Linked DNA regions of Arabidopsis thaliana. The protein of the gene in region 2 interacts with the protein of the main gene of each other region in a pairwise test. Each region holds a gene or a part of one and is shown on either strand. Other genes may lie near its edges. The genes, in order: AT2G22180 and PTR1.

Region 1 (16,152 bases), on a different chromosome or scaffold from region 2:
TTAGCTAGTTAGTTTAGAATGATATAGTCTCTTGCAAAACATCATACATAAAATAGTATTTAATTTGATTTGTTTGGTACGCTCACAAAAAAAAATAGAATAAATGAATATAGTGTCTTGCAAAACATCATACATCAAATAGTTCTTTGATATCCTAACTATTATTACTGGTTTCTATACAATTTTATATATCCAACCTTTACCCGAAATGAAGAATTCATTTTATAATAAACTATAAAATTTGTCTTTTTATATTCTTGCTAGAAGATAACAATATTGTTGTCATAATTAGGACTGTGAAAATGGTCCAAAGGTGCCCTTAATAAATAATTGGACCTATTTGTTTCACTTTCTAGTGGAATATCTTTATACACAATTATTGTTTCTCCACTGTGGTTTCGCGAAAATGACCACTCAACCTTTTCTTGGTAGATGGTAGGGGTATAGAATAAATGATTCTTTATGTATATTCGATTTTTTAAAATAATCAAGTATATTTAAAATAACTAGCGCACAAAAAAAAAAGAACATTGCATTTTGAAATCTGCGGTGAAATATAAAAATATTTTTGTATAAACTTTCATAATTTGTATTTTCTTATTAATACATTCCACTTATTGAACAATAAGATGGTGAGGCCAGATTCTCGCAAAGCATTTCCGTTTATTAACACATTCGCCTCTAAACGGGTAGTTGCATTCGCAGACAAGTACCTCTATGGACTATGGCGAATTCGACGAAGCCAAAGATCATATATTTTTATGAGTCCTTTCTCCTTCAAAACGTGGCCTTAAGTTGGTGGTCCTCTACTAAGCTCGCATCTCACTCCTGATTGGATGCATATGCAACCCCACCTCGTCAATGGCACTATCAAAATTCTCAGCTTCTATCTCTTATGTTTGTTGTGAGCGATAGTGTAATGACTATATTCAATTTTTACCGTACGAAACAGTAAACCGTCAGCTCTAGTGATCGACAAAATAACAGATCGGGTCTCCTCGCACCTATATTTTAATATGACTTGTCTTCACGACCTCATTAGATGTTGGCTCGAAGGAAGAAGTACTGATCAAGATTGTTTCTTTTCAACTTCCATTCTTCTAAAAGTCTATTTGTTTCTTTTCAATCTTCATTCTTTTAAAAGTCTATCTTTTCTTTCAAACTTTTGAAATTCTCTATTAATTAAAATATAAATATCTTTGTTGAAGCTAAATTTTACATTCCAACAGAAAAAGAGAAAGTTAAACTAATAGAAATGTACAGACGGCACTTATTCCCAAAATGTAAGTTACATTTCTATAATAAAACTAACAACACTGAGAAATGAGAATGATCTTATCAAAAAGAGAATGATAAAAAAAAAAAGAAAAAAAAAAGAGGGAATGATCCCATCAAGTTTTCGGAGTATTGCTTGTACACACTTGGTCTAGGAAAAATCTTAGGAGGTGAAATGTTACTTTTGCATTTAGGCCCAATTATATCTTCTGTTTTTAAGAAGTTCTGACTAGTCTGTTTATTTGTAATCTGGGCTAAACTAAATTTATTTGTAAAAGCAAAGGTACATTTAAAAAAAAAAAAAGACGCTCACTCTATTGTGTTCTTCTTGTTCACGTTTTCTTTTGTCGCTCAACAATATAGAGTAAAAACAAAGACATTAGGGAAAAAAAATGAACAATTGAACATTACATAGAAAGTATGAATTAATTAAGCACATTGTTAACTCTAACGACACAATCATGTTATATATAAAATATATATAGAGCGAGTGTCAGTTCTTGAACTCACTCTCACAATTCTCCGACACAATCTCAACCTTCTTCGCATCTAATAGTCCCTTAACCTTAACATCACAAGTCACCACCACTTCCTTGTTCCGTTTGACCGGCCCTGCTTCATACTCAGCCTTCAGCTCCATATTCAGCATCAGAACAACCGGTTGCTTCGATCCACGAGGTTGTACAACTGCGTTCTTGGTCGACCCATTAAGCTTCACATTGACCTTGTCGGATCCAGATGCGGCCTGGGACAACCCCGGAAATTTCCCGCTCCCCAGGCTCTTATTCTTGTACGTTAAGGAAACGACCCCGTTCTTTTCCATCATGTAGCGTACTCCCATGTTAGACGTTGGATTCTCGGCTCTTAATGTGACCTCAAAATTACTAGGATTTACGGTCAATCTCTCGACCGCGAAAACAGGAAGAGTGGGGTTGAAAGCGAAATGGAGGATGAGAATGATTGCACCGAGTAAGAATCCGAAAATGACCAAGATAATGAAGAACCACAAAAGACGTTTAGAACACCCTTTCTTTTTGTTTTTCTCCGGGTTCTTGCTGCGTTTCTCGACGTATTTTGCATGTTCCGGAGGAGGGGTCCAATAGACTTGATCTCTCGGGACTTGGACAACGTACGTCTCTAACTCAGGGATTGAATCCGGAGGAGGAAGAGGCGGAGAAGATGTCGTTGGGAGTGGAGACAGATTAAGAGAATGATTACGCCAATGGTGTGAACCGTGCGATGGAGGATCTAAAGATGGCAATGCGGGGAGGCTAGAGGTTGGACGGTGCCAAACGGACGGAGGATCATCGGGTTTGTCATCGTCAGAGTCAGGGGCGGTGGCGGAAGGAGGACGCCGTGGCCCCTCCATCGGAGAAAGGTGGGAGTTACGAGATGTGTGGTGGAGATTGGTCTACAGAGAAGACGAAAGAGAGAGAATTAAGAGAGGATGCGAAAATTAGGGTTTGCATGGGAAAAGTAAGTGGTTGTTGTTGCATGACTCAAACTTTTGGTTGGTTTTGAGAAGATTTTGCTATTTAGAGTTAGCCAGCTCACCTTAAATTTCCCTTTTTCTGTTATTTAGAAAACTATATTACAGAACTCATATAATATAGTATTATGGCATTTGATGATGATCAACGAAGTTGTTACTTTTTGTTTACAAGATATCGATTTTCTAACATAAATTATATATGCATATAAGACATACATGAGTAAAATCTTAAAAAGGTTAGCACATATTGGTAATGTTTATCATGAACGAGTCTTATTTTATTTTGTACGTTTCGAACTAAAACCATTTTTGGGTGGTATTTCTGGACCAAATTTTCATTAAAGTGTTTTTTATTTCAATTCTCTTGCAACTTCTGTTTCTTTAGAAAGCGAAAAATGCATATATACGAATATACGTTGGGATTGACATGAACGGAATGTATGTATTTACACACATTAATCCGCAGCAACCGGCCATTCAAAATTATGTTTGTGGGCCTTGTTGCTGCTTCGCTGACAATACTATCCAAAATTTATTTCATTTTTCTTTCTTTGAAAAACACACAATCACTTAATTTTCATTTATAAATCAAACATATGTACATGAAAATATCAAGGAAATTAAAGGAAATCTTACCTTCATATGGTCGAAAGTTTTCTTTCAAAAAGCAAAAACAAAAATTAATGTTTCTCTAATTCTTCCCCGGCCCCAATCCACGTGAAACATGTTATGTTGCGAGCATTACACTGGAAACTGTTACATTACATTCTAATTGGCGAAAAATGAAGTGCATTTGTATTGTATCTCACGAAGATTTGCGTTTGTGACAAAAAAAAATATGCAATTTTTTTCGAAATCTGACAACCCATGCCGACCTGTCCGCCGAGTTAACGACGTGCTTATAGGATCCTTAAGTATTTTTATTCTTATTTCTTACTCATTCCAACGGACCAAAAACGACCACGTCATCTTCATACGCAACTCCCAAAACAGACGATAATTAAATCATTGAAATCTAAACTCTCATATACTTTAGCATTTTCAACATTTCTATTAATATTTCCATAGACTAGATCTCTCTTTCTTATACATCCATATCACCGATGATGCCTCGCCGTGACGTCCTCTTCCTCTCACTCCTCCTCGTCATCGCCACCGTCTCCGCTGTCGCATTAGCCGTAAGTTTTCCAAATCTGACTTGCTTCCTCTCATATATGATTTTGTCTAGAACTAGACACACACATTAACCAGATTTGAATATGTATATAATGACACAACATCAATGACATTAGTTTAAACTATTAGACTACAAACTTCTGTTTCTTCCCATTTAAAAAAATGACTTTCTTGATTTCACAGGACGATGAAGCAGATTGTGTCTACACATTCTTCCTTAGAACCGGATCAACCTTCAAAGCCGGTACAGATTCGATCATAAGCGCTAGAGTCTACGACAAATACGGAGACTACATCGGGATCCGAAACCTAGAAGCATGGGGTGGTTTAATGGGACCAGGTTACAACTACTACGAGAGGGGTAATCTCGACATTTTCAGTGGGAAAGCACCATGTCTTCCGAGCCCAGTCTGTTCATTAAATCTGACCTCTGACGGCTCCGGTGACCACCACGGTTGGTATGTTAACTACGTGGAAGTCACGACAGCCGGAGTTCATGCAAAGTGCTCGTACCAAAGCTTTGATGTTGAGCAATGGCTTGCGTCCGATACATCGCCGTATGAGCTCAGTGCTGTTCGGAATAACTGTCCAGTTTCGCTTAGGGAAAGTGTCGGTCGGGTCGGGTCTGAGATCCGGAAGACTCTCTCTTGGATCGTGTGAGAGTAGTGAATGAAATGTCAAATGTGTATGTGTGTGTGTAACTTGGAGAGTTGTTCTTTGTTGTCTTGTGAACGTGTGATGGCAATAATGAAAATGATTCGATCGAATAAAAGTTCCGTTCTTTGTTGTTTGTGAGATTTTTATCAAACATTATTAAGTTTTTCGTGTGATGAAATTAAAAGATAATTACTGATCATATTAAAAAGAAAAAAAGATAATTACTGGTTGATATAGTTTCTTTGTTTCGTTTTATTTTCACAAATAAACGTTCAAAGCTACAACCTTATGATTAATCAAAACTTTGCCAAATAGTATAAAAGATGGGCCCTTTTCACATTTTTCGATGTAATTTTAAACATTTAATACAGAGTGGATCTTCACAATTTTAATCATTTTTGTGCATGTTCAAAAAGTCAACAAGAAACTTACAATTTTGTAAGAAACATCAACGACATTAATTGGTATTGGCCTAAACCTCCTAATTAAGTGACATTTGGTTGAAACGGAACATTTCTTTGGGTCATACTAATAACTGAAAACCATTATCAAATGAATGACTTTAAAATTCCTCCTAAGGCACCATATAAATCTCACTATGCTCCTAATCGTCTTTTAAATCTATAAAAGAAGGTGTGAGCAATAAGTTCCTCAATGAAAATTGAAAAAGATCATCCCTGCACACATAATCTATAGAACCACAAAGCAATATACAAGCTAGACATAAAATAAATAGACAATATGCCTTTAAAAGATAATTACTGATTGTATAATATTTATTTACAAAGACTTCGTTAAGGTCAAAATATTTATGTCTAATCTCCATCCCCCTAGAACATGTTTTTTTCTTTCTTAATAATAGTAACTGTCTAAAAAGAAAGAATTTATGATTCTCATAAAAATTAGAAGAAACAGATTAAAATGGTTTTATTCAATCATATTAATTGACAGAAAATTAAATGTCATATAAACTACAATGAAGAAAATGATAAAGTAGTGAACCTAGTGATAATCCTTTAAACTAACGATCACATGATTCGATGCAACAAAGTAATAACAGACTTATTTGAATTGCCGCGTAAGACTTTGAAGATATTGCTTTCAAAGACGAGAAAACATTGTTTCATCATAAAAATCTTCAAATACATCGAAACAGTTAATGATCGCATGTTCATCTCATTTCTCATACCTCTTTGGACTTAACTGGTACGTAAAAAGATGATAGGCTAATAATTTCGTTGAGACAAAAACTAATTTAAGGTTAAAGCATTAACTATATAATTGTCTATTTTTGTGTTAACGATCACATGCACACATTCAGTGCAATTAAGAAAAAAGTTTGATCCACCAAGTATATATGAATGTGTTCGTTTGTCTACTTAACTCTCGCACTAAAAACAATCAAAAAGAAGAAATCAAACAAAATGACTAAGCATATCTTAATTATTCTTATGTTTACTCTTCTCATTCTAGAGCTAAAAGCTCATGGAACAAATACAATGAGACAAAGCTAAAAAGTGATGAGGGTCTGGAAAAGTTGTACAAGAGGTGGATGGGCCACTATCTTGTGCCCATCCACCAAACAGAAAGTAGTTTCGATGTATTTAAAAAAAATGCAGAATATATTGTCAAAACCAACAAGGAGAGAAAACCGTACAAGCTCAAGCTCAACAAGTTTGCAAACTTGACCGACGTCGAGTTTGTCAACGCTCACACATGTTTTGATATGAGTGATCACAAGAAAATACTCGACTCCAAACCGTTCTTCTACGAGAATATGACTCAAGCACCAGATTCCTTGGATTGGAGAGAGAAAGGAGCCGTCACCAATGTCAAAGATCAAGGACCAACGTGTAGTAAGAAGTCCTAAGAAACGTTTTAATAATGATATTATTTAAAAATATCAAGTAAAGTAAGACTATCTTTAAATGTTCTAAAGTAAATTATTAAAAAGTTTATTGCAGTATATAAAATATTCAAATTATAACTCGTTACTCAGTCGGAGTTTTTGTTAAATTTATTTTTGTTTAAAACAAATATATTACTCAAGTCTGAATTTTTGACCCATTACAAGTTTTCTATCATAGATTGAACAATTTCGATTCGTTTTTCAAAATTCAAATAATGACATATGCAGAAAAAAATCTAGCTTTTCTTTATATGAAGATTTATTTGTTTCACAAAAATAGAATCATGTAAAGATGAAAAGAAAAATATATGATTAATAATAAATTAATATGCTAAGTTAGATATCAAAATCTTATATGTTTATTTTGATTGGTCATTTTCTTAATTAATAATGTATTTTCCTTTTTAGAATTTAAATAAATTAATTAAATTAATATTTACCTTATTTATCCTTAGTATTTTCTTTCCACAGATGCCATTATTTGAACTTTAGTACAACAAAATCACCAAAATAAAAAAAAAAACTAAGAAATTTTGATGCACATATAAATAAGTATTTTGACTTATATTCAAATTGTGTGGAAACAATGATAATGATATCCTTCCTCCGATAAAACTAATCTTTTTTGTATGTGTGGGAAGAAGAATAGAGAAAAACTATAAATAAGGTTAGAGTTAATGCCTTATAAAGTGAGAATTAGGGTTTAGTTTTATTTTCGTTAGTTTGGATTTAGGAAGAGACTTAGTGGGCTTTACAATTAATTCAGTTTTGAATTATTAATGATTTATTTTATTTGTTATTTTAAATAGATGACATGTCAACTTTTAATTGGTTATTAGAGAAGAGGTGAATGTAAGAATTGTTCATATTTTATTATCATAGATGGTCTTTTATTCTCACTTATTAAACATAACGAATCCTCAAATGCCTCAATGCAAAGAGTATTTAATAGTACAAATACCCTTTAATACAAAACGAATGTAAGGCATGCTTGGGAAAATTATTGGCCAACACATATCAGAAACTATACTAACGGTTTCACAACATTCTTTCTTGATCCCATGGACATGTCCATGTAAAATTCCTTTTATGCTTTCGAGACATCCTCTTGATGTGCTTTTAAACGCCTTAAAACACCCCTCCGGATCCGTTGGTTGAGCACTCGAAGGAGACCAAGTCATTGCAAAAACAAAAACCATAAGAAAAATTATAATCTTCATCGTCTTAGATTCCATTTTTTCTATAATTAAATTAAAAAACCCAAAAAATTGTTTAGTTTTTTTTTTGTAATATGTTAATGATGGTGGAGCTTTTTATACTTTGTTTTGGTAGAATGACTAGAGATATGAGTTTATTCAAATTGGTAGATTTTCGTTTGCTCATTTCACCTAGCAGATATGATAATAGAGTTCCATATATCTTGGTATATATGCCATTCAAATTCATGATCATTTCCTTTATAAAAGATAGCCTTTTCAACAATGTCACTTAATTTTGTGTACGTGGACATATAATACACTCACTACAAAATACATTTACGTATCATATATATATTACCAAAGTAATTAAGCATTTCGCCAACTAGAGAGTGCCACCTGAACGTTTTTGTAAATTTTGTGCCAAATAAATTAGAGAATTACTAATGATGACTAGATTTATTTATATATAATCCTAGATATACAATATCACCTCATCAACTATTTTTCATAAAATGTTAATAATTAATCAATTTTTCAGAACTTCAAAACAAGAAAAACATTTTAATTTGAAGATGATCAACATAAGAATTGTTAAATTTAAGTTTAGACTGCAAAAAAATTTACATTTAAATCTTATTTGTTCCATGCACATCTTTTAGTTATATACGTAATGAGAACTTAAAACTAGTTGTTATGTTACAAAAAAATACTCTTTGATATTTAAGTTTAATGTTTCTTCAGGTGTAATTTTCTATATTGACGACGTGTTGGATCTATACAAACAAAACCCATCTCGAATTACAACTAAACAAGGAGGATCCACCATAGATGTTAGATGTCAGTCACGGAAGAAGAAAATTAGTCGGCAAACGTGGATCAAACCTGCTGGCTAATTAAGGAAAGCAAACCATGATCTTCATCAAAGAAAATCTTTTATATATATATATATATATATATAATTGTTGCTTTATTCAATCACTTAGGCAAAAAATAACAAAAATTCACATATAAATGGTCGGAATAGAGCAGCCAGGCAAACAAACAAGATGGCGCTACTGGATACGTTTCGCTTTACGCAAGAATCGATAACTCAACTCTCATCTCCAATCCAAAGGATGTGTACGCAGAGGTCAAGTTCTTCGTCTACAACAGAATCTACGACAAATACTATACCTACCAAGGTATGTAATGTAACCTATTGCCCCCCACCCGGTTAGAAAAGTGTTGTTTCAGTGCTAGCAGATTTTCATTTCGAGGCTGTCAAAAAAAAAAAGATCTTCATTTCCAGTTTATTGCTATGTTTGGACAATAATGATATGCTATGTCACATTTACTATTAACCAAACGTTCTGATCAATCAGAAAAAATAAAGTATCATGCATGGTAACTATCTTTTGGGTCCAGTACTTAACTGAACATCTATTATAAATGAATGTTGTTGTACAAACTGAGGCAAGGAGGTTTCATTTATTCAAACCTGAATACGGAGTGCCGTAATTTCAACCCACATCGGTGTTCTCAACGCTGACAACCGGATACATTTTCGATGGAGAACAGTGTGTGTTTGGAATTGACATCTTCGTTGCTCAAACCTTGAATGAATGGGAAGTTTTCTCCTTTGAAGAAAACATCAAAGATCCCATTTACACATGGAAACTCAACAGATTTTCAACTCTCTATAGTGACTCTTACACATCCGCCCTTTTTTCTTCTGGAGGAAGTAGCTGGTGAATCTCTCTCTTCTCTCCATAACATATAGATATATACACAAACACTACGGTATCTTTACGTCAATGTGTTAATAAGTAATGTTAATGATATAGGGTATTGAAGGTATATCCAAATGGAGATGGTTTTGTAAAGGGCAATTCATCGTCAGTCTATTTGTTGAGCGAGTCTAATGAAAAGGCTTATGTTCGAGCCAAGCTAAGAGTTCTTGACCAAATCCGATCCAACCACGTGGAGAAGCTAGGTCAGTGTGCTCTCCCTATTTATATTTCCTTTAATTTTGTTAACAACTAAAACTTTTGATTGATTCATATATTTTTTTGATGGACAGTGGATGGATGGCCTAATGCAACAGCTAATAATAATGGATGGGGTTTCGAGAAGTTTGTACCATTTGCAGATCTTAAAAATGCATCTAAAGGTTTAGTGGTGGAAGATGCGCTCAAGGTTGAAGTCGAGTTCATTGGCTTCTCTAAAACACAGACTCCACCTTAGATGTTTTTTATTAGGATATGGTTCAATATAATGTCCTAAATAATAATTGAGGAGTTTCTAGCTCTTTCCTGTTTTCAGCTTTGGGTTTCATTTTGCTAGTTCCATTCATAATGTGACCACATTTGTTTCTGTAAGAGCTTTGGAGTTTTAATAAAGAGTTTTGTCCTACCGGGAATGATCCTCTATAATAAGGTTCTATCGAAATAAATGGGTAGAATTATCATCATTTTGAAGAGGCATGTTAGGGATAATATCCCAAAACCAAAGTACTCTTGCATTTTCAGTGATATATAAGAGACATGCATATAACAATAAACTCATTGCTGATAGATTTTGAGTTGAAAATCTATAGTTTCTCATTTGGTATCAATAGTAACCCCAAATATGTATAATGAAAAAGAGGGATTTGATTCGAAATCAAGTGTACACTGAACCTTACGTTACCATGTAAACATGCTTAATCAAATGACACGTAATATATATAATCAAAATTAACGCAATGACATAATTAAATCATTTTAAAACAATGGCATGTCCATTTAAATTTCTCGAGAAAGGAAACATAGTAACTAGACCAAACAACCTCGTTTCATGAATTTGGGGCTTTAGAGTTTGCGATTTATCCGCCATATCATTCCCAAACATCAATGCTTTCGTCGCATGTGTATATCTCCTCTTTGTCAAAGAAATCGACTTCCGTCCATAGGGTTTCATGTATTTCATTCATACCTTATTAATTGTGTTTGATTTTATCAGTGTGTTTGTAATGGTGATTTCGTTTCTCTTTGTGTATGTAATGTTGATCTTGAGATAGCTTTATTGTAGAAATGAGTTTAATTGAAAGGGGCATTCCGAAAACAAATTGATGTGATGACATTAGTTGATGAAATTTTCACTAGAGCCAAACAATCTTTAACCGCCTTCATTCGTTGTACTTTTATTATATGAAAAAAAAAACACAGATTTTAAATTCATTCAACAAAAATATGTAAGATAATTATATGTAGAATACATTTGACAAGTATTAAAATAGATAAATATTGTCATTCTTAATAATATAAAAATGAAGCAAATACTCTTCAAATTGGCACTTCAATGCAATGAGTATTTGACAGTGCAAATACCCTTCAATAGAAAGCGAATGTAAGGCATGCTCGGGAAGATGATTGGCCAACATAAATCAGAAATTGTACTTACGGTTTCGCAACATTCTTTCTTGATCCCATGGACATGTCCGTGGAAAATCCTCTTTATGCTCTCGAGACATTCATGTGGTGGGTGTTTAATCGTCTGCCAACATGCGTTAGGATCTATCGGTTGAGCACTAGAACATGACCAAGTTATCAAAAAAGCAAGAACCATGAGCAGAAAAGTTGTCTTCACTGTCTTAGATGCGATTTGCTTTATCAAATTATAAACCAATTAAATGAATTTAGTTTGTGACACTTATGTTGTTGATGATGATGCTAATTATGTCAGCTTTTTATGGTTGTTCATTACCATATGTTTTGAATAGAATGGTTAGATTTTTATTTTATTTTGTTAAATAGAATTTTTGGATTTTGATTTACGTAAATTAGTAGTTCTTCTTCTTCTGCATTTCACCTAGTCAGAAAAATAAGCATAATTCAGTAACATATTAATTGCTACCCAATTTGAAGATCATATAGAATATAACTATATAAGTGATTATGTGTATTAAGGCATGCATGTTTTTAATTAGATATAGATATGATCCTATATCTAGGATAACATATCTTTTAATTTAATTGTTGTAGATTTTTTTTTTTGCTATGATATATTCATATTTTACTCTTCTTTTCAAAGTATAACTCTTTGTGTATACATTTCCTTATATATTTCTTCAATCAACATGCACGACATCATTTCTTCATGGAAAATCATCTTCAATCAAATAATTTTGCAAGATATTTTATGTTGAACTTCTGATGAATAAACATTTCACGTAAAGAGGACATTACAATGTCCGAACTGAGGAATGGGTAAAAATGAATTATATTAATAGAAAAACACACTTAAAGAATAACTTTTAGCTACCGTGGTATTTACAGAGATGTCATGCTGACGTGTTACAACCAGACAAATTCTCAACCAACTTAAATCATTGTCCATCCTTTATTAGATTATTCACAAAATTAACTATTAGTATTATATACAAATATCTTTGTTTTTAATATATAGACATGAAAATTATATGTTAACAAAGATATTAATATATAAACTACCTTTATTTTTTCTAATCAGATATTACCAATACTTTTGTAAATAAAAATATTTCAAAATATATAAAACAATTAAAATTAATTAAATTATAAATATTCAGAAGATTCTAAAAATATAATATTAATTAAATTTAATCAGAAGATTCCAAAATTTTCCGTTAAAATTATGAACATAAGAACTAATTTATTTATAGAACTTATATACATGTTTAAATCAATCAATGTATGAATAATAATAATTTTAATACAAAAAATTGCTGGTTCAAATTATTTTAAATAAAATTTACATTACATAATAAACAAACAAATTTCAAATTTCAAATAATAACATAGTAACTTTTGTAATTTACTACAATATATTTATTTAATAATTTATTTCACATATAATGCGGGTTAACTATCTAATAATAGAAACCAAAAATTTGGGCCTACCAGAAAAAAAAAAGAAACCAAAAATTTGAACAAATATTATTAGATATATAGCATATATTTTGGAAAGTTCTATACTTGTTTTTTCAATGAAAAAATGAAGAAGAATAGTGACACAATTCTCCAAAACGGTTACCAATTAAAATTTCAGTGACTTTTGTTAAGTCGTCCATTGTAGGCCGCTTATTGGGCCATAAAAGCGATAATAGTCAGCAAAATCCAGTAGCCGTATTTACTAAACTCGATATATGATGAAGAATGAAGATGAACCTGTATCCAAACACTCCATATTTTTTGAATACAGATAACCATGCAGCCAAACGTTGCTTAACCTCTGCGTTCGTTATCGGCGATTTCGAAATTCGAATCATCATCATCTTCCTCGATAGTCCCGCGCTCAGTCGAAATTCAAAACTCTCTCTTCCATGAACGATCACATTCTCATCTCTGACGGTGAGGATCAGACTACTCCACTTCCATCACTGTCGAAACGGGCTCGAAAATATCCAATCTCTGCGATACTGATATCGGATTCAGATCCGACACCGCAGAAGCAACCGCCGGAATCTTCTTTTACTCCTATTTTCGTCCCTGAGACACCTCTTTCCGATGATTTCTCTGTCGTCAAGTGTTCCTTTGGTTCTAGAGCTTTAGCTTCTAACCGCGAAGACAAATTCTCCGGTTAGTTAATGTTCGTCCTCGGAATTTTCTCGATTCTCAGTGTTTAGGTTTAGCTTTAGCATTTTCTACAGGAAATTGATACCGGAAAGCTTGTTCTACTAGCGAAAATTTTGTGATTTCTGGGGATCTTAGGCAGAATCATCAGGCTAAACAATATCTCTATGTTTCTTTTGGAATCTCACTAGGCAAACGGATAATATCTCTGGATTCGGAGTTTGAAGATAGTCCTCGACCTGAAACTTCGAAGAAGAATGAATCCGTGCTTGCTGGTTTAAGGGAGCCTCGGTTTGGATTGGAAGCCGAAACCAGTGAGGCATACTATAAGAATACTAGAATACCTGAGACAAATTTAGGTATGCTTACCCCAAAACCAAATTATTGTGCATATATATCAGAGTATACATGATGAACTTCATTTGTAGGGTCCACATACAAATGCTGATTGCTGTATTTTTTCAGACGATGATACTAGTTGGATGCATGAAGTCAGTTTTCGCTCTTCGCCAACTAATGATACTATTGAGGTACTTATCTGCAAGGAACTAGTACCATATTGTTCATCATTGGTACAGGATTAAGGGATTGTTGACTTTATTCGTTGTATGATTTTGCAAAGCTGTCTTTTTGAGAATGTGACAATTCTGGATTCCCATAACGTCTCATTTGTTTGTATTTTAAGAGTTCACGTTGTGCTGATGTTTTTTTCTTTTATTTTGTTTCTCTCTTACTCTTATTTCTAAATGGTATCAGGTTGTTTCTGACCAAGAAAAAGAGGATATAAGCGTTGAGAAAATTGGTCGAAAAAAGAAGATCAGAACTACAACTCTTCCAGTTCCAGGTGAGGCATTGCCAAAAAAGCGGCAGTCGAAGGAAGACAAAACAAGTGCAATGGAGGAAAAGAAGTTAAGAAAAGAGGTAAGTGTTCTTTACATGACTTTTCTATTTTTTTGTTTCTTTATCAATTGTTGACTGGCTTCCATAATCCAGCAAGAGAGATTAGAGAAAGCAGCCTCAAAAGCAGAAGAGGCTGAGCGTAAAAGATTAGAGAAGGAGAAGAAAAAATGGGAAAAGGGAAAGTTAGCCCTTAAATCTATTGTTGCCGAGATTGATACTAAAGTGCTTGAAGGATCCATTGGAGGTGAGGAATTTCTCTATTCTTTGTATTACTTTTCAATAGATCCTATAGATGTTTTTTCTTTGACTCTCTTTTTTTTGTTTCATATGAATGGTTTGTCACTTTAAGTATAGACACTGAGTGCCTCTGGTATAATGTGAACATAGGACTTCTGCTTTCAAGGTTCTCTGAGAAAGGCATTACAATCCACGTAGGCCCTAATCCAATTGAGAGATCCATTGTGTGGACGATGACAATTCCAGAGGATATTGCTCCGGTACAATTAATTCTCAATCACTTTTGTTTTTTTGTCATGTATGAAAATTAGTTCTTAGAATCCAGAACTTGCAACAAGAACTAGCTCCCTAATCTGGTCCGTATTCTTGTTTAATCTCAGGATAAGCATGTTACTTCAATATGTGTTTCAAAATTTCTTTGACGTTTGGATCATACTCTTCTGTGTTGCAAGTTTCATATCTTCGTAATTTTAGTGGAGGTAGTCAAAGCTATTATTTCATCTTTGGATAGTCTTTGAATGGCAGGAGTTTTGAAAAACTATTTTGAAAGTCTTCAATATTTCTTAGAAAGAAATCGATCGAAGATTACTTCATTACACCTGACATTGAATTGCGTTACATGTTATGAAATATAACAAAGGAAATGAAACCCTTTTGCTATGGGTTAAAGGGTCTTTGAAGTCAGTACTTGACTAAAACTATATGAAACATCTGTATCCAGTATCTTATTTTACTCTTTATTAACATCCTCTTTTCTCTGGTGCAGCTTTTCCCCCAAGGGCCCAAGATTCCTTATTTGCTACTTGTGTATGACGCTGAAGAATTTTGTAATCTTGTTGCTAATGGAAAATTTCTAGAAATCATCTCAAGAGTTCAGGACAGATACCCATCTTATACGGTGTGCTGCCTCACGAATAAGTTAATGTCCTACGTAAAGAAAAGGTGTGTTTGATAAAGTGATTTGGTGTTATATTAATGTTTCCGTCATCAAGCTGAATAAAACCAATCTTCTAGGGAAAAGGAAGAGTACAAAAATCCGGGAAATTGGAGACGGCCTCCTATCGATGAGGTAATACATTACCTAGTGATAATGTATGTAGAGGAAAGCCTATTTGTTGCTCCTATGTTTGTGTTTTTAAACATACTTTTGGGGCATTTGATATGTATTACACAGGTACTTGCAAAATTAACTACTCACTATGTTAAAGTACATTCCAGACACTGTGTAGACGAGGCTGAGGTGGCTGAACATATTGTTGGCCTAACAAGCAGTCTGGCCTCTTGCCAATTCAGGTACCAAAAATCTACTATTTTGATTTCTCTTACAGAAGACTTTATCTCGATTGATGTTGGATGGAATTTTTGATTTCTTTCCTCAATGAATCCCGTTAGACCAATCAAAGCAATAATATTTTGATGAAAACCTGTGAAGTCTAAATCATATACATCTTCACGCGTTTAACAACTTAACGAAATAAAGATCTAACATTGGGAGTCATCACAAAAATGGGCAGTAAGGCTTGTCTTGAAATAAGATCTGTAAAGCCTCTTATAGTCTTTAAATCATACAAGGCTGACTACCGAATATCTGGGAGGTCAACATTACGTAGAGCTGTAGTTGATAGATGAACGTGTGGCTAATAATGTATTTCTCTGCATGATTTTGAAGTGAAACTAATCATGGCTCTACTATGTGATGCACAGGAAGAAATTAACTATGTTATCAGTAAGCGCTAA
Region 2 (17,876 bases):
TGTGAAGTAGACCTAGAAGATGACGCACTGACTTTATTGCCACTGCTACAAAGCTAATCAACTTTGTACCAAATATACAAAACTTCGACCTCTCACGATGTTAAACTAATGGAATTATTAGAACTTAAAAAAATCGGATTAGAGATTAAAAAGAAATGAAATTATTTAGAGAGGTAGTTAGTAAAAGTAAATTCGATCCAGCGTGGTGCTGTGTCATTTATTTGACTGGGAATTTTCTTCAGACAGTGAAAGCAACATAATCGATGGATGATACTATTTAACAAAACAGGTCGTCACACACGTGTGTATAAATAAGTAAAGCGCCCACTCCTTTCTCATTTCGTAGCGCGCAGAGAGAGAGAGAGAGGGACGATCTTTTCTATAACTGAAACACTACTCGAGGCCAAGTTGCTTTAGCCGTAATCGTCGTCGTCCCTCTTCCCGATATTATCTCTTCTCTGTTCTTCGATTTCGAAACCCTAACCTCCTCTCTTTAATTCGCGTTTTCTGGATCGAAGATGGTGGCGGCTGGTAAATCCGACCTTTCCTTGCCCAAAACTTTCGCCTGCAGTGCCTTCGCTGCTTGCGTCGGCGAGGTAATCGCCGGATTCCTCAATTTTTCATCTCTTTTAACTCCATTTTTCTTATCGCTGAGTATGCTTCGATTGTACCGGAAAACTATTTGTTCGTTCGAGAAATGTGTGTCGCGATCTAGACTTTGTTGGCTATACGCGGAAATGTATTTTCGAATTTCGTTGGTATTTGTGAAGTTCTGATCAGGTTGATCTTTGTCTTTTTTGTCTTTATCATCGTATAGCTGGAGAATTTTGATTTTAGCTTCTATAGTGTTTCTCCAGATTACGTAATTCCGATAGAAATGATTTGATCTCGGAATAATCGGTCAGATCTGTGGCTAGAAATTGAATTTTGGCATGTGTAGTGTTGTTGATTTATGCTTTAGATATGATTTTGCGAAACATTGAAATGATTATGAGACTTGAAAATGGAATCTATTTGATCATTGTGATTGCTATGCAACGCAACTGTATAATGTTTAATTATCCTCAGAACAACATGTATCTTCTCTTTGGCTGTGTTGTTTCGTCAGATAATTCTGTTCTTATGCAATTAAACTCTCTGGACCAGGTATGCACAATTCCATTGGACACTGCTAAAGTTAGGCTTCAGCTCCAAAAGTCTGCTCTTGCTGGTGATGTTACTCTGCCTAAATATCGAGGATTGTTGGGAACTGTTGGTACCATAGCAAGGGAAGAAGGGTTACGTTCACTATGGAAAGGTGTTGTACCTGGATTGCATCGTCAATGCCTATTTGGAGGTCTTAGGATTGGAATGTATGAGCCGGTGGGTTACAAATTCTTCTTCTTTCATGCTCCAGAAAAGTGCTTAAACTCAGTGTTTTCCTAGTTACTACTTAAAGCCTTAACCAATTTATTCTACTCAGGTGAAAAACTTGTATGTTGGAAAAGACTTTGTAGGTGATGTTCCATTGAGCAAGAAAATTCTTGCTGGTTTGACAACAGGTGAGCATAACGATAGACCAGCTTAGAAAAAACACGTAATATATATTTCCTCTTTATCACTTAGTTGGGCTGTTTTTGTTGTCTAACTCTCAGGTGCACTGGGTATCATGGTAGCAAATCCCACTGATCTTGTGAAAGTTAGGCTTCAGGCCGAAGGAAAACTAGCTGCAGGTGCGCCAAGACGGTATTCTGGAGCGCTGAATGCTTATTCAACAATTGTGAGACAGGTAGTTATCCCGACTTGGAAGTTGAGATTGTGCATAAGTTGCTTCAACTCTACTTCATATCTTATTAATGTGGCTCTGACAGGAAGGAGTCCGAGCTCTTTGGACTGGTCTTGGACCTAACGTAGCAAGAAACGCTATTATCAATGCTGCTGAATTAGCGAGTTACGATCAAGTGAAAGAGGTATGAAACTAATATGTTCTCTGTCTCTCTTTCTAAATAAGAGATCCTGATATTTGAAGCAACCAACATTCCTTTTTTTTTTTGTGTTCAGACGATCTTGAAGATTCCGGGTTTCACTGACAACGTTGTCACACATATTCTATCTGGACTGGGAGCAGGATTCTTTGCTGTCTGCATCGGCTCTCCTGTCGACGTGGTAAAGTATTTACTCATGACATTGAACCTTGAGTTTATTCACCACGTTTCCTGATTGTCTACTTAAATCTTGTTGTGTGGCAGGTTAAGTCAAGAATGATGGGAGATTCTGGTGCTTACAAGGGCACCATTGACTGCTTCGTCAAAACTCTGAAGAGCGACGTAAGCAACTCTGCTTCTGATACCTCCATTGTTCTAGATATAACCCAGAAAATGTTACAAACTCTTTACGGTTTCCTCTACAGGGTCCTATGGCATTTTACAAGGGTTTCATCCCCAACTTTGGACGCCTTGGCTCATGGAACGTAATCATGTTTTTGACCCTCGAACAGGTAACAACTGATAGAATTTTTATTTTATCGCAATCGCATTCGAATCGGTCACGCAAAGTCTTCTTTCTCATTTTCTAATCCGGGTTCTTAATACTCTAATCCAGGCAAAGAAGTATGTCCGGGAACTCGATGCGTCCAAAAGAAACTGAGACACATAGTTTTAAGCAGAGGGAATAAGAGCAACATTGTTTTCTTCTTCATTTTCGGTGATTGAGAGAGGCCAGAACTTGGTCGAATATTGTTTTCGGAATAGAGATTCAGTTTTCGAGTAAAACTGTGAAATAAAATTTCTGTGGATTGCTCATATATTGGCTGTACCATCCAACATTTATCAAAAATCATACATTTTTCTCCTTTCTTTCCACAAAACCGAGAAAAATCAGAAAAAGAAACTCCTGAAGAAGAAAGAGGTGACAGCATCTCAGCTCAGTTTCTTATTTTCCGGATTAGCCCATATCTCGAGTCTAAGGTAAAGCTCTCTAGTTTTGTTGCAGATAAACTCAATAGAGCCAACAATGTAATCCTCATATCTCTCATAGAAAGCTGGAACCGTCATAACCACCAAAACGCCTGCCAAATTAACCAAGAACAACCACAAAATGAATATCCAGCTCAAAAGCATTCCAAGTCTATAGGAGTTTTAGAATATCTACTTACTGGTGTGGCAAAGTGTCTGAAAATCCATGAGACTTCCGATCAATGAGAGAAGAAACAGTGACACTGCTACTTTGGTATACAACTCTGAGTCTCTTGCCATTGCAATGTCATGCGAAACTTGGAGTAGCTTGTTCACATGAATACGTAACCATATCGAAGCTTCTTCCGCCATCGCTTCACTTATTTGAAACTCCGGTAACGGCGGTGATGGCCTGAAGAGCCAAGAAATTGAATCAGAAATGAAGTAATATTAGTTACAAGTGAATATTAATATACCTGTTGAGAATGGAAGCAGATTTGGACCAGAGGAAGAGAATAGAGAGCAAGAGAAGAAGAACACTTGAAATAAGAGTAAAGATAGTGTAAGCAAATGCCTCAAACACCATCCATGAAGCTATTGTCACTGTAACTATACCAACACTCACATTCTTCTTCCTCCACAGCATCACATCTGCAACTGCAGATTCATTTCATAACAAGAAAAAAAAAAGGCTATAGAGGTGAGAGATCACCTAGCTTTTATAAGTTTTGGATTTGGTAAAGAAATGTATTCACTAACCAATGCCTCCTCCCAGAATCTCATGTATTGTCCTGTCTCTGTTGAACAACTTGTCCGAAGAAGAACTCATTTGAGAAGAAAGATCAGAGCAAACTTGGATTCAGATTTCCTCAGATGATCAGATCCCAAAAGTAACCCAGATATGTATATCTTTCTCTGAATGTCAGAAACAGATCATTATGTGAAAGGAAATCCTAAAGGCTCGAATCGAAGGAACCTGATGTATCACAAAGAAAGTAAAAATAAAAAGTGAAGAAGAGACTAAAGTTGGGTCATCACCATCATCATCAAAGCCATCAACTTTGAATATACAAATAATTAATTAATAATTCAAAGGCTATGCTCTGTTTAGGGAAAAAGAAGGTGTTTGTTGTCCTCTCGATGTTTTTATTTCCAGCCTAAAAGTGTTATCCTTCTTGTTTTTTTCAAACTGTAAAAGTTCGCCAGATTGTACTTAGAGATGAATCAAATTTTACACCATCCTTTTATATTTTCCATAGAACACATTTAAATTGGTCATTCATCTACTTTTAGTCAACTGAAGTAATTTATGTACCCTTTTCAGATGTAGTTTCCTATGAATTCGAAAAGGTCGAATCTTTATCCTCAATTTAAGATTGTCAGAAGAATTTAATATGGTAAAAAAATCAAACAAAAACAATTCCACAAACCATTTATTATCCTCTGTTTTCTATCTTTCGATGTAAGCTTTTTTCTTTCTCTGTTCTGTATGTAAAATTGTTGATAACTCTTGATAACAAACCAAAACAAAGAAACAAAAGTGAATATCCCACCACCTCCATCAATAACACTTGTTCTCTATTTTCTCTGCTACTTTTGTTTCTCAGTTTCCTTTTCAGAAGTGCCCACAGCTCCGAGATTGGCCTCAGCAGCAGAAGCATCAAGCAAACTTGCTGCAATTGCTGCCTTCAAGTCATCATCTTCCATCTCTGAAAAAGCCTGCACTTCCTCACGTGACAATGCCTGATTCCGTCTTTGTTGATTAACATTGTCATTACTTCTCTTGTTTCTGGCAGAAGAACCTGAGCTCGTGTTCTTTCTTATTCTCTCTGCGTCTTCAGGAGAAAGCCACTGCCCGAAACTATTGGAAGCTTCAGAAGAAGACGACATGGGACATTCCTGAGGGAAGTTTCCTTTCACTATGAAGATACTCCATCCTGCGCCTTTGAGAGAGTCTAAGAACGCAGAAAGGTAGAACTTCGATAAATGTTGCGGGGCAGCAAGGAGACTATCAAAGTTATACCATTCGCCATTCACTTTCCTTATACAAAACCAATGGTCATGCAAGTGGCAGATAAAGGCGCTTTCAAGCTCAGGGTCTATCTGCGCAGGCTCTGCATCTGGACAATTGAGTGGAATTACTTGTAGATCCCACACTTCCAAAGCTTTTTGCAAGACCTGTCAATCAAACAGAAGCATTCTCAGTTAAACGAATAAGCAAAGACTAGATCAACTTTGCAAGATTAAAATGCTACACCAATCGCATAAACCCTCTGTTTGCAGTGTTTTATCCGCATCCAACTTCAACGTAATCCGTTAAAATAGCTTTAATTTTAGATATCTAAAAATGTGATGTAAAACACCATACTATACCCTTGAATCTCAATACATAAATCTTGCAATCAAACCTGACTTTTGTAGCAACCTAATCAAATATCAAGTTATCAACCAACTCGGTTTAAAGCTATCCAAGAAACAAAAGATGATAATTGAATATACAGAACCTCACTAATAACTAACATATCCAAAACAATTGAGTCCCAAGATAAAAAAAATCATCTCAAGTTCCTCCATTTATCAGCATAGCAATGTTCGCACAATGAAACTAGCCTTCAACAAATGAGTTTTAACCCAAAGTAAAGATCGCAAATTCACACCATTACTGATCTCAATTCTTCTTGAATCTATCTAAAAACGAATCCAACCATTCAAAAGTTTATCACTTCAGCATAAACACAGCAATCAAAAGCACCATAAAATCGAAACCCTAATTTTGCCTAAACTTCCAACAACACAATAACAAAAAGGCTTTACAATATATAAATGTTGAATGCAACTCAAGATTTATCAATTTCATCGCGAATTCGTACCTGGATACTAAAATCGCCGCCGAGGGAAACATTGTGCGACTCTTCAGCTAAGAAATCGCCGGGAGCAAAACCTCCAACGGCAGCACCTTCAAGCATAACCTGACGCTCCTTCCCGTCTAGATCGGCGGCGACGGCAGCCAAATCGAATTCAGAGAAGAAAGGCCCTTGCAACACCGTGTTGACGCAGTGTACGGCGCACAGATTTGACTCTTGAACCTCGTGATACAACATTCCTCCGTTGCTTGTTCGTTCCATCGCCGATTAAGATTTGAATATCAAAATTCACTGATTTTGCGATGAATATATTATTATTGCTCCGATGCAAAAGTCTCAAAGAGATTGTGAAGCGAAGATGAAGATGAAGATGAAGAAAGAAGAAGAAGAAGCAAGTTAACAGATTATTTAAATAAGAAAATGTAAGGGACGGAAAAGTAAATATACAATAAAAGGATGCCACGTGTAATAACCGACTTTCTAGGCCTTTTTCTTATTTTGCAGACGAGCCCGATACTGTTTTGAGATAGGCCCATTATCTCAAAATTGACAGACCAACTTAGGTTCCTTGCTTCCCAAGATTTCTGGTGATCTCTTTGATGGCGACTTCTGATAATGTGATGGGTATGATCGGGTTGGTTTATGCCTGCATTTCGTAATAACCACGTCTGAGAGCACTAATACAGAGTTAGGAATTATACTACTGAGAGCACTAGCAGCAATGTCCGTGAACAGTTTAAGAATTTAGATAAGTTAGTGACAGATTTAAAGAATGAGATTCTGTATAAGCTTTTACGCCCTCTGATTCTTTCATCAAGGTAATACATCTACTACTTCTACCTGTTTGTTCTAAACTCTTATTATGGTCTAAATTTTTCCTTCTTAGCCATATAATTGCAAGGCTAGAGTTGATTATACTTTGTTAAATGATTAGGTTTGGTTTCATTTCCAGATAGTCCTGCTGGCTATTTCCGCTTCCGCTCATTTAGTGACCAAACCTGGCTTCATCGCACCACCACATTCGTAAAATGACAAAAAAACTTTCTCTTTTTCTATGTGCATATAGTTGAGCTCAATAAAAAGCTTGTTTCTGACTATATATATATAAACCATGGGTTTTACTGAACAAATAAACCCCAGAATCAAAATCTGTTTTTGACGCTTGCTTGTCTCAATCTTGTTAGACAACCTCCAAGAAGCCAAGGGGGCTTCCTTATGCATCCTGATCTTGAGCATTTTCCAAACAGTTCAGATATATAGTCAAAAGTAAAGACATCTTCAAAGAAACAGAAGAAAATACTTGATCTCTTTGTTTAATGTCTAGTAGTAAGTTTACATATGTATTGACAATAGGATCCTATGTGCTTTGCTTTTTGTTAAGATTTCCCATGCTGTTGTTTAGTTTTTGATTTTATTTCCCAGCTTATTGCTTATAACTTCCAATGTATATAATAAGTTTCTTAAGAGCAATGGCAAAATATAGGAGGACATATTATCAGACGGTCAAAAAGCTTTAAGCAAAAAGCTCATAAAATAGTTACCAATAGCCTTTTACATATAAGTGGAAGACTGGAAGTATTCAGAAATACATAAGCAAAACCAAAACAAACCTAACACACCAACAACAACTAGACCACATACAAAAAACATTTACAAGCAAAACACTTTTCAAACAAATACTGTTAACTCCAAATATCTTCCACACCAGTTTCTTGATCAATGTGCTCGACCAACAGCTTTCTTGTATTTGTAGCGTTTTGAAATCCAGAGGTACACTAAGAAGTTGAGGAAACTGAGAGTTGCCAACAAGTAGAAAAAGTAATCAAGATGGCCTCGGTTCAAGTTATCCGGTATCCAACCCGGTTTACCGTTCTTCTTCGTTATCTTCATCACAACCGTCACAAGAACTGTGCTCAAATAGTTCCCCAACGCAACCGTGGTCAACGACAAAGCAGAGCAGAGACTTCTCATGGCATCAGGAGCCTGATCATAGAAAAACTCAAGCTGACCTATAAAGGTGAAAACTTCTGCACAACCGATAAGTAAATACTGCGGTATCTGCCAGAATATCGACATATGGATCTGTTTTTGGTCATATGCATTGTGAGTTTTGACATAATCAAGCCTGACAACCTCCAAGACTCCTGCAGTGATCATGGCAAAGATGGAGACCACAAGACCTATACCCATACGTTGAAGCTGAGTGAAGCCTCGTTCATTGCGTGTGAACTTTCTTGCCAGCGGGATAATGAACTGGTCATAGACAGGAGTCCAGAAGAGTACACTGACAGTGTCGAAAAGTGAGAGTGAAGCTGATGGGATTTCAAAGTTTTTTCCCATGTGTTGGTCCATTGTGTTTCCTTGTAACACAAACATTGTGCTCATTTGGCTGTACACTGTGGCGAAGACTATTCCTGTGGCCCAAACTGGAAGAAGTGTGATTATTGACTTAAGTTCTTCAACTTGAGTAACAGAACATAGTCTCCATGGATTGACTTCCCCGTCTTTGATGCTATCAGATTGACTCTCAACCGCTGCCTTGTCAAAAAACCTGAGATGTTTTCAAAACTTTAGATTTGAAAACAGAGTATTTTTGAAGTTAGGATAAAGATTCAAACTTTAGTTTCTTACTTTAAGTTATCTGTGTGCACAAGTTTCCGGCTACCTTTGATGTTACTCTCATCATCTGCAGTTTCAAAGAGCAGAGACTTGTCCTCTGGAACCTTAACACTTATCTTCCGAAAAGCCGCTACTATAACCTGAAAGATCCTAGTAAGTGGACTCCCTCCAGGTCTCTGAAGTCTGTAAAAACGGCTTCCGAAGAAGAAAAAGCAAACCGCGATAACCATCGCGACTGTTGGAACACCGAAACCCCATCCCCAACCAACATTCATTTGTATCCAGACGAGAACAGTTGCAGCAATGAGAGCTCCAACATTAATGGAGAAGTAAAACCAGTTGAAGAAAGAACTTTTCTTGATCTTCTCATTCTCATCATTCTCATCAAACTGATCAGCTCCAAAGGACGAAACACACGGCTTTATACCGCCAGTTCCAAGAGCAATCATATAAAGCGCGACAAAGAAAACAGCAGTCTGACTAGAATTTGGATGACAAGTATCAGCATTGCAGTTACCTGGTTTAAGTCCAGGAACTGAAGCTGATAATGTCAAAAGAGTCATACCCTTCAAGAGAAAAAACAAACTTAATTAGTTTTAACCAAAAGATTCACATTTTTAACCAAAAGATAAGAAACAAGTAAAACTCACGGAGACATAGATGAAAACAAAAGTTGCAATAGTCCAATATCGTCCAAGGTAAGCATCAGCTATAAAGGCTCCAATCAAAGGAGTTATATAACATGTTCCAGACCAATTCGTGACGTTATTTGCAGCCGTAGCATTGCCTTGATTCAGACGGCTCTCAAGATAATTCACAAGGTTAGTGCCCATGCCATAGTAGGCCAATCTTTCACAGCACTCATTTCCTACACAAAACACATAAAACTGGTTAATCTTATATGGATAGATCCAATCAGGGCCCAAGCTATATAATAAAAAAATATAATGGCCCTTTCTTTATTTAGACAATTTTTTTGAAGAAAACAGAGCAGATTTTAGGTTTATAACTCTTTTTTCATAGTGATCACCCTACAAAACTAAACATTTCCAATAATATTTTAAATTTTATTTGTTCTCTATCATTCAATTTGCTTTTAATCGTATATAATCTCTTTTTAATCATTACATTTATTATTTACATGTAAATGTTTTTAGTGGACCTTAAAAAACAGGGGACACGAGAGGCCATTACTTAAGCTGGTCCAGGTCCTATACGGCAATAATGAAGAAAAAGATTGGTGAAACGATTAGAACGTTACCGAGAATGAAGCGGCAAGCTTTCCAATTTCCGGTTTTCTCCTTGTTTGCAGGATTTTTGTGAATATCAACAGTTCCATCTTGCGTATACACATCTTTTTCTTCCATATTCCTAATAAAGAAAAATAGTTTAGCTTTTTCAAGAAAGATGTACCAAACACATACCTAAAGATCCCCAATTTAGAGATCCATACTTCAGGTATAAGGTTATGAGAAAACCCTTAAAAATATACGTGAAAGAAATTGACTAGTAGATGCTTAGATCGAAATATGCAGATGAAGCAAGCAAGTACGAAATTTTCATGCTCTGAAATTATAGTTTATGTGTGACCAGATGAGGTTATGGTTGTAACTTGTAACGAAAGGAAAACTCATAAAAGACTTAGAAAAAAGGGAGAAACCTTTGTCGGCGGCAGCTGAATCAGCGGCGGAGACGAGAGGCAAGAAGAGAAAAGAGTAGCCGAGGGCGAGGAATTACACGGCACTTGTCGGAGTAATAATGAGCATGAGCTTATAAAAAAGACTTGCAGAGCTCTGGTCCCGTACAGCTTTTATATCCAAGGAAATAGAAAGGAGCGTTGCTCACTTTTCTTCTCATGTTTGCAGTTTAACCCTTTGAGTTTTTGTATATTTCAGTTAGAGCCGCAAGGCCTATTGTGCTATCAGATTTTGATATTATCTTGTTTTGACTCCAAAGTGTAAATAGATCAATATCGAAGGACGTGTTAATCATCCACCAAAACTTTAGTGGACTCTTTTTGTTTTTTATCCGATATTACGGAATTGACATTACCAGAAAGATAACAAGAAAGAACTCCTACTCAAAACAAGAAAGATACAAGTGTGAATACAAACACTTTGGTCAATAAGATGATTTGGAGTTTTCTTATAAAATTGAGTTCATACTCTTTCTTTTTTTATTTGAAACTTGTGTTCATACTCTAAATATCAGATTGTCGATTTTGAAAAAAAAAAATAGTTAGGTTTATTAAATTTGGTTTTGGTTGATGTTTGATTTTGGATATGTGAAAATAAAGCCAAAAACATCACTAGATTCAATATTCAATTTGGTGGTTCAGTCTAAATCCATTTGATTAAATCTCTAATCACTCCCTCGATTAAAAACATTGTTTCAGCTTTAAGGTCTCAGTGGATCTTAAAATATAAACTAGGGTAGTGATATTAGAAAGATAATTAAAGGTGTTTGATTTGGTTATGCTAAAATAAGAGGTGCTAATGACAATTAGTAATAAAGTAACCGTTGATCTAAAGATTCACCGAGGACGAATATTAAAAGATGCATGTGAATCGACATATGTAGCTGGATCCTGTTTATCTACGAGGATTTGGCTGTTTATCGACTTAGTTGTTGGACTTGAACTCTTTACTCCAAAAGCCCAACAAACTAAAGAGACAAAACCAAAAGTAAAATTTGATGTTTATGAAGCTAAATTTGAAAAAGAAAATATATCTGACCAAATTTGATATTTATAAAGAAAACATATTTGATGTATTTAACAATTTTTAAATTGATGACGTTTAGTTGCAAACAAAATAAATAAATAAATAAAATAGGTAAAAAACAGTGTGCTTTGATTGCTTTTATTTCATTGGAAGTCTTACCACGGCTTCCATACTCTTGTAGTCAACTTTTCTTACATATTCGTCTAATCAGTTATACCAATATATACTTTTGAAGTACACTAACTAGTTTTTGTTTTTTTTGTTAAAACATTAACTAGTTGTTGGGATGTGACATCGAGACTATGATGTTTCAAGGTGGATTTTGTGCAACGTGAGTAAGTAATCTTTGATCAGTGGTTTGAACTTTGAACTAATCATTATATCATTTGACACATTTTAAAATCAAGAACTAATAATTAACTATAAAACTTCAACGTTGATATGAAAGGTTGTTGCGAGGTCCAACTTTAATAGAATAAGTACGAAAATTGTTGTCAGATCTAACTGAAAATATAAGTAAAAGATAACACTTGATAGATCCACAAATCAATGATGTGCAATTATATAGAAATTTGGATCACTCATATTTGATTATTATTTCACGGGAATCATAGTAGTTGACCTTTTGATTCTAGTCTAATCCATTGATTCTTCAAATCCAATTAAGAAAAACCAATTTGTGCTTCAATTCAAAGCATTCTTTTTTTTTTTTCTTTCTGAAATTAAGATCAATTCTCTAAGCTAGCTAAAACGTATACTTGAGAGCTGTTTGGGAAGATAACTCTCTAGAAAGAAAAGCTAAAAGGTAATCTAGGTATCATCACTATCGACGACAACTTTGTTTGCCATTAACTTTTTAAAAAGTTGTAACTAATCTCACAACAGATCAAACCTGAAATAAGCGTGTAGTTTTATTTTATTTTATCAAAAGGTTAGATAAATGAATTAAAAATTCCTTATTTTTGGGCGTCAAGAATTCACATCCACGAAAACATTATATTATGACCGCTAAAGAAAGGTTACATCTAGGCTTTTTTTTTTTTTTTTTTTTTTTTTGTTTTGTGTATGGTGAATGGAAACTCCAATTTTCATTTCTTTTCGCCACCAGATGTTTCCATTTTACATAAAGTCTTCAAAATTTTCTTTGGAACTCCCAAATCCAATAATTGACATACTCAACATGAACTTTATTACTCAGTTGTACAAAAACCAACGGCTTTAATACGGAATAATGAACTGATATCCAAATAAGAGTTATTGCTTTCTCAAATGGTTTAATATCTATTTTTGGTTAAAACCTGTAATGAGTACTAAAAACTGACGATGGTTTATCTTTGCATGCGTCATCTTCACTTGTATTTTGTTTCTTACTTTGTCTGTCTCCTTCATCGGATGGTTGTGGTCTTTTCTGGTTTCTCCCAACCTCCGTTTCAAGCAAGAGACGACCTTTGTTAGACAGTACTTGATCAGATTCGAATTTTTCTTCCTGTTCAAAGACAAATTGTACCAAAACCTAAGTAATAATAGTTGATATTTCCTTAACCAAAAAAAAACACTAGTTGTTATTTTAGTGTAAAAAATTAAGTATATTTTAACGTATTGAATGATTGCCTAAGATGTTGTAGTCATACCGGAATTTTTCCAACAATCATGTGAGCCTTGTAGAAAACATCTTTCACTTGGGTTTCATCACCCCAAGCCTCCTCAAATTTGGTTATTAGATCTTCATTTATAAGCTCTACTCCTTTTTCCTTAGCCTTCATCGCGGGCTGCCACGATCTCAAGAACCCTATAAACCCTTTAAGCGAAAGTTTATGCGGAATGTCTAGAGTAATAGGCTTTCCTTCGGAACCCATCCCTATGGTCTCAAAAGGAAATGTCAATGTCTTGTAACCGTCAAATGCTAAATTCATAATAGGAGTTCTAAAAGGTAGAGTAGAGTCGACAAGGCGCTTCATTATGGGATCGATCTCATGCGAGATAATGATATCGTTGTATACCCAAACGGCGATTAGGCCTCCTTCTTTACGAAGAACACGTTTTGCAACATTGTAAAATACGTTGAGGTCGAAGAAATGGACAGCTTGAGCAGCAACTATGAGATCCACGGAGTTTTCTCCCCCGAGTAGATCCACCATCTCATCTTCTGATATCGTTGTTGGAGTGTGATGGTAACTGATTCTTGAGTGTTTGATTGCTCGTTGAAGTTGTGCTTCGTTTATATCGGTAGCCACTACATTCTCGTAATGCTCCACAAGCTGTAAATTATAGATTTCATGGTATTGTCAAGCTTAGTTCACCTACTATATTCTATATGTGCATGCATAAACATCAATAGGCAATCTGCAAGAGGCGAGTTCACTTAACTTATTTTGACAACATATATTTCAGTTTATAACTTGAGTGGTGACGACAGTAATACTTATCACTAGGTTGCAAGTCTTGAACAAATTCACTTACTATACATTATATATGTATGATATACCCACAATTCCACATGCATGGTCTCATTTACCGTTGATGAAATATTAATGTTTTGTGAATCTAGTAAAACAAAACAACATCTAAGCTCAGTTTTGTCTTTAATTTACATTTTCTTCCAAATCAGTCTAAGCTCATTTGCTAAAGACTATATAAGTTACGTAACTTCATTTTTCCTACCTCTTTTTGATGTAAATATTTTTTTAAACATTATTTTAGGTTAAAAATATCTATAAAAAATTATGCATATATTAAATACGTAATAAAACAGCAAAGATCGTTGACTAAAAAGATAAAAATAACAAGATCAAGAGGCTGAATAACAACAATCAAATTTGCCGCAACCAAGTTTGACTAATCTTTAGAATGATAGACATGATCACATGATGATTCACTGAAAGAGGCCCTCCTAAGTAAATTAGCTACCTTGTTGCTAGATATTTATCAGCAAATCTCAGTATCACAAATCATACTAACTAGAACTTCATACTAAAGGAAAAAAAAAAAAAGAAAAAAAAATAAAAAAGAACTTCATACTAAATGAAGGTTTTCAGATTTTCCCAAATCTAAATTAGAAGATATATAGTATTATAAAGCTTACCCCAATAGCAGCCTGACCATTACCAGTTCCAACATCCCAAGCAAATTTGTGGTCCTGTGTCCGTGCGGCAATTTTCTTAAACCAATCGATCGGATATCTAGGCCTTGCGTCGAGATAAGCTTCAGCCTCTTTCTCTGATAAGGCAGCCATTTTCTTCTACGTACCTCTCTCGTTTTCTTTCCTTGGTTTGAATACACAACTAATTCGTTTTCTATTTAAACTCTCTCGAGTCTTGAATAGTCTTGTTTCTATTAATATATTATGAAAAAGTTTAACCAAGTCCAACTTGGCGTGAGGTAAAGTTTCACTGCAAGTCCTTCCTAAGACGTCGTTTAAGACTTTTTTGTTTTAATATATTTTTTGTCGAAGACAAAATAGTCAGTATATAGTTGTAAACCAATATGCAGGCAATGCAAGTTTCCACGAAATGGTAGAGAAAAAAATGATTTAGTTATAATCAATTTTCTTTCAATCTCGAAAAAGGAAAATTGTACATATAATCTGTGTTTTATCTGTATTAGTGTTAGGCCCAAGTTCATTAGCTGAAGTTTCAAGTCATAATGGGCTCAATTTTGGGCTTATCTCTTGGGTTTAGTTTTTACAAGATAAAGTTGATAAAGTGAAGACTAAAATGAGGAAAAGAGAGGGTCTCGAGCGCTTTTTACTCTTTCTTCTTCACGAGAGCAGTGTCGTTGCTCTGATCTTGTAACTGTAACTCCGGCGGATTTTGCCGTTTATACTGGATTTTTCCGGTGTAGTATGTGATTCCTCCGATATAGACGCTAAAATCACTGTTCACCGTGAAACTCGTACATCAAATTTCGTCAATTGCGTTTCTTTATCGCTTTTGAGTTTCGACTACAATTCATGAAACCATGAGTGAGATCGTGAGAGTTCAAGAGATCGTTTCTAAACTCTGGAACCTAAACATAGCCTCCAAAAAATCCCCGAATCTGGTTACGATCATATCGAATGTTGGTTATAATCCTTCGTTTGAAACTAATGGAAGCTTCAAAGATTTCGTTTCTCGATTACTAGCTCGACGTGACAGTTACCGTATAAGGAGATTCTCTTTGAAACTACGTTCTTTGGAATTTGATTCAGCTAAGTACCATCTTGTCAACGAATGTCTACGCAATGTGTTGAATCGAGGTGTTTTGGATCTTGAATTGGACATCAATGTCAATGAAGTTTACAAATTGCCATTTGAGGTCTTCACTTGCAAGAAAGTTGTGAAATTGAAACTAGGTTCTGATTTTGTTATTGACAATATCCCTAAGAACGCTTTGCTTCCAGCTCTTAAGACTCTCTTTCTTGATAAAGTTCGGTTCATTGATAAAAGTGGTGGTTGTGCGTTTACAAGGCTTGTTTCTGCTTGCCCTGTGCTAGAGGATTTAGTGATATATAGGAACAACCGTGAAGATTGGGAATGGTCTCGCATTGTGTCTAGTAAGATCCTTAAGAAACTTACTATTCGGCGTGAAGACTGGGAAGATCTTGATGGCTCTAGTTATGAGTCAATTAGTTTTGATACTCCGAGTCTTGAATACTTCGAATACTTTGATGTTCTCCGAGATGGGTATCCAGTTGTTGATCTCAAGTCCCTTGTTGAAGCTAAGCTAGAACTTCCTCTTTTTATGGTTGGCGATACCTACGATGTTAAGAATCTGATTAAGGGCTTAGAAAATGTTCAGATTCTGAGCTTAGGCGTTGTTGACACGATGCAGGTAAGTGATCGCTATTGTTTCTCTTTAATATGTTACTGTAGCTTAACAACTAGTAGAGCATGAGGAAATTTAAATCTAGGAACCATTGAGATACTAAGATCATATCAATCTTGCTAGTGATTAGAATGTTTGCTCAAGTAATGACTGACTTAGTTGTTTTTAATTCTGTTTCAGGTGTTTTGTTTCTTCGAAGAAGCAGTACCAGTGTTTGAAAACCTGTTTCATTTATCACTTAGCACTGAAGTAGATTTCTGTTGGAATGTTCTACCAATTCTGCTTGAGAAATCTCCAAATCTAAAGACTCTCACCATTCAGGTATGACCTAAGACCCCCAAAAGTATATTGGACAAACTAAAGAGTCAAAATCTTCAATCTCAAAATTCCTGTCTTTTCTAGGCTTTGCATTATACTACTAATCACTATGGGGATGAGAACACTGTTTGCGATTGTTTGGAGGTGTATTCTTTCTTATCGTCCTGCCATATTGAGGTTCTAAAGATAACCCAGTTCAAGGGAGATATCGGAGAGATGGTGCAAATAAAGCATATCTTGGAGAAATTGCCGAGTCTTGAGCTGTTGGAAATTCATGGTCAGGTAAAAGGAGATGACAAAAAGCTGCAGATCATGTTGGATCTCCTAATGTTCGAAAGAGCTTCGTCTGAATGCAAAGTCGAGGTCAAGTTTCCAGTTTGTTTTGCCTCAGCATGAACTTCCATATCTGATAAGAGAAACAAATGAGCTTCCGGTTTGTTGTTGACATGAGAGCTGGTTTGTTTAGTGTCTTTCTTATCCATGCAATTTCTGTATATAACAGCTTGACATTTTTGTCATCTTTGGCTCCTTGTTGTGTCGTTTCTTCGTGCCTAATTCACTTGAGTTTGTAAGAGAGATGCTATAGCTATTAGCTATCAGCTACGTTAGGTCTACTATGACTCATTTGTGCTGTATGTTATTGTTACTTTACAGTTTACACAGTCTATTTGACAATTTGGTAAATGGGATATGATTTGACTGATGTTGTTTGTTTCGGCTCTAGTAACATTGTAGTTTATATGTTTTATCAACGAGCTAAAAATATCTCAGTATATGCAATGCGCAGAGAACTAGAACAAAGCTTGATTTAAAAAAGAAACACATCATAAACCAACATACACAAGAACTAGATGATTATGGCTACAAGAGACTAAAGTTGTTATATAGATTGTGTCCAGAGATACAAATACAATACACACGAAGTCATTAAGCATTGACACTCAATTGTTACAAAACCCGAAACCATCACACATAAACGTAGCCATAGTCAGATAATGAGAAGAGAAACACAAATACGTAGCCATAGACAGATAATGAGCAGAGAAATATAGTTGAATCTCTTTTTTTTCACCTAGTAAATAATGAAATTGCTAACAAAAAAGGGATTTTATTTGTATTTTAGTCAAATAAGTAATCTACATAGTATTTTTGCAAAATTTTTTGTCGGGATGCATTTAGATCAATTTGGTATCCGCCCATTTTAATAATTTTGTTCATTGAGTCTTAGTTGGGTCGGTTCAAATAAAACTCGATTCTAGACCTGTTTTAAAAACTTTTACAACGGATATTTCCAGATTAAACAATATTAATAATTAGAAGATTTGGTTAACATTTAAAACTATAAATCTTCTTTCATCTTTGTTTGAATTTTTTAACTGTTTTAAATCAATATATAAAATTAAAAATAAATCTCAAGTTTTTATCCTACATATATTGTGATTCGAAATTTTAAAAATGGACATATGTTATCTAATGGACGAAAAATGTGTGGGTTCACGGTTCACCGTTTCACATCAGCTAAAATTAAACAATGATTTAAAATCATATCATAAATAAGTTCAACATTAATAAAATAAATAGGTTTTTTGGCTAGACGAATTTAACGAAACGGGTTT

Evidence for each region.
Region 1: the proteins of PTR1 (region 2) and AT2G22180 interact in a protein complementation assay, tested with the Arabidopsis thaliana proteins (one large-scale study listed by BioGRID).

The regions. Positions count from the first base shown.
Region 1 is NC_003071.7:9,415,461-9,431,612, reverse strand, and holds AT2G22180 (hydroxyproline-rich glycoprotein family protein), read right to left. Parts: upstream 2,871-16,152; 5' UTR 2,645-2,870; coding exon 1,769-2,644; 3' UTR 1,472-1,768; downstream 1-1,471. Other genes in the region: PLAT2 (Lipase/lipooxygenase, PLAT/LH2 family protein), read left to right, coding at 3,871-3,945, 4,127-4,603; AT2G22160 (Cysteine proteinases superfamily protein), read left to right, coding at 6,153-6,470; AT2G22155 (ECA1 gametogenesis family protein), read right to left, coding at 7,439-7,744; AT2G22145 (ECA1 gametogenesis related family protein), read right to left, coding at 11,024-11,293; EME1B (essential meiotic endonuclease 1B), read left to right, coding at 13,029-13,284, 13,470-13,637, 13,744-13,808, 14,035-14,199, 14,272-14,422, 14,566-14,675, 15,182-15,357, 15,430-15,484 and 2 more.
Region 2 is NC_003074.8:20,038,372-20,056,247, forward strand, and holds PTR1 (peptide transporter 1), read right to left. Parts: upstream 10,375-17,876; 5' UTR 10,077-10,374; intron 9,820-10,076; exon of another isoform or gene 9,788-9,819; 5' UTR 9,784-9,787; coding exon 9,678-9,783; intron 9,285-9,677; coding exon 9,067-9,284; intron 8,983-9,066; coding exon 8,429-8,982; intron 8,349-8,428; coding exon 7,514-8,348; 3' UTR 7,232-7,513; downstream 1-7,231. Other genes in the region: PUMP1 (plant uncoupling mitochondrial protein 1), read left to right, coding at 519-596, 1,147-1,362, 1,463-1,541, 1,635-1,768, 1,851-1,949, 2,041-2,145, 2,229-2,306, 2,390-2,476 and 1 more; AT3G54120 (Reticulon family protein), read right to left, coding at 2,898-3,046, 3,134-3,345, 3,410-3,590, 3,693-3,762; AT3G54130 (Josephin family protein), read right to left, coding at 4,524-5,111, 5,804-6,058; AT3G54150 (S-adenosyl-L-methionine-dependent methyltransferases superfamily protein), read right to left, coding at 12,431-12,625, 12,771-13,397, 14,222-14,371; AT3G54160 (RNI-like superfamily protein), read left to right, coding at 15,097-15,948, 16,123-16,263, 16,345-16,656. UniProt on the Arabidopsis thaliana protein: Peptide transporter. Mediates the transport of di- and tripeptides. High affinity transporter with low selectivity. No transport of amino acids.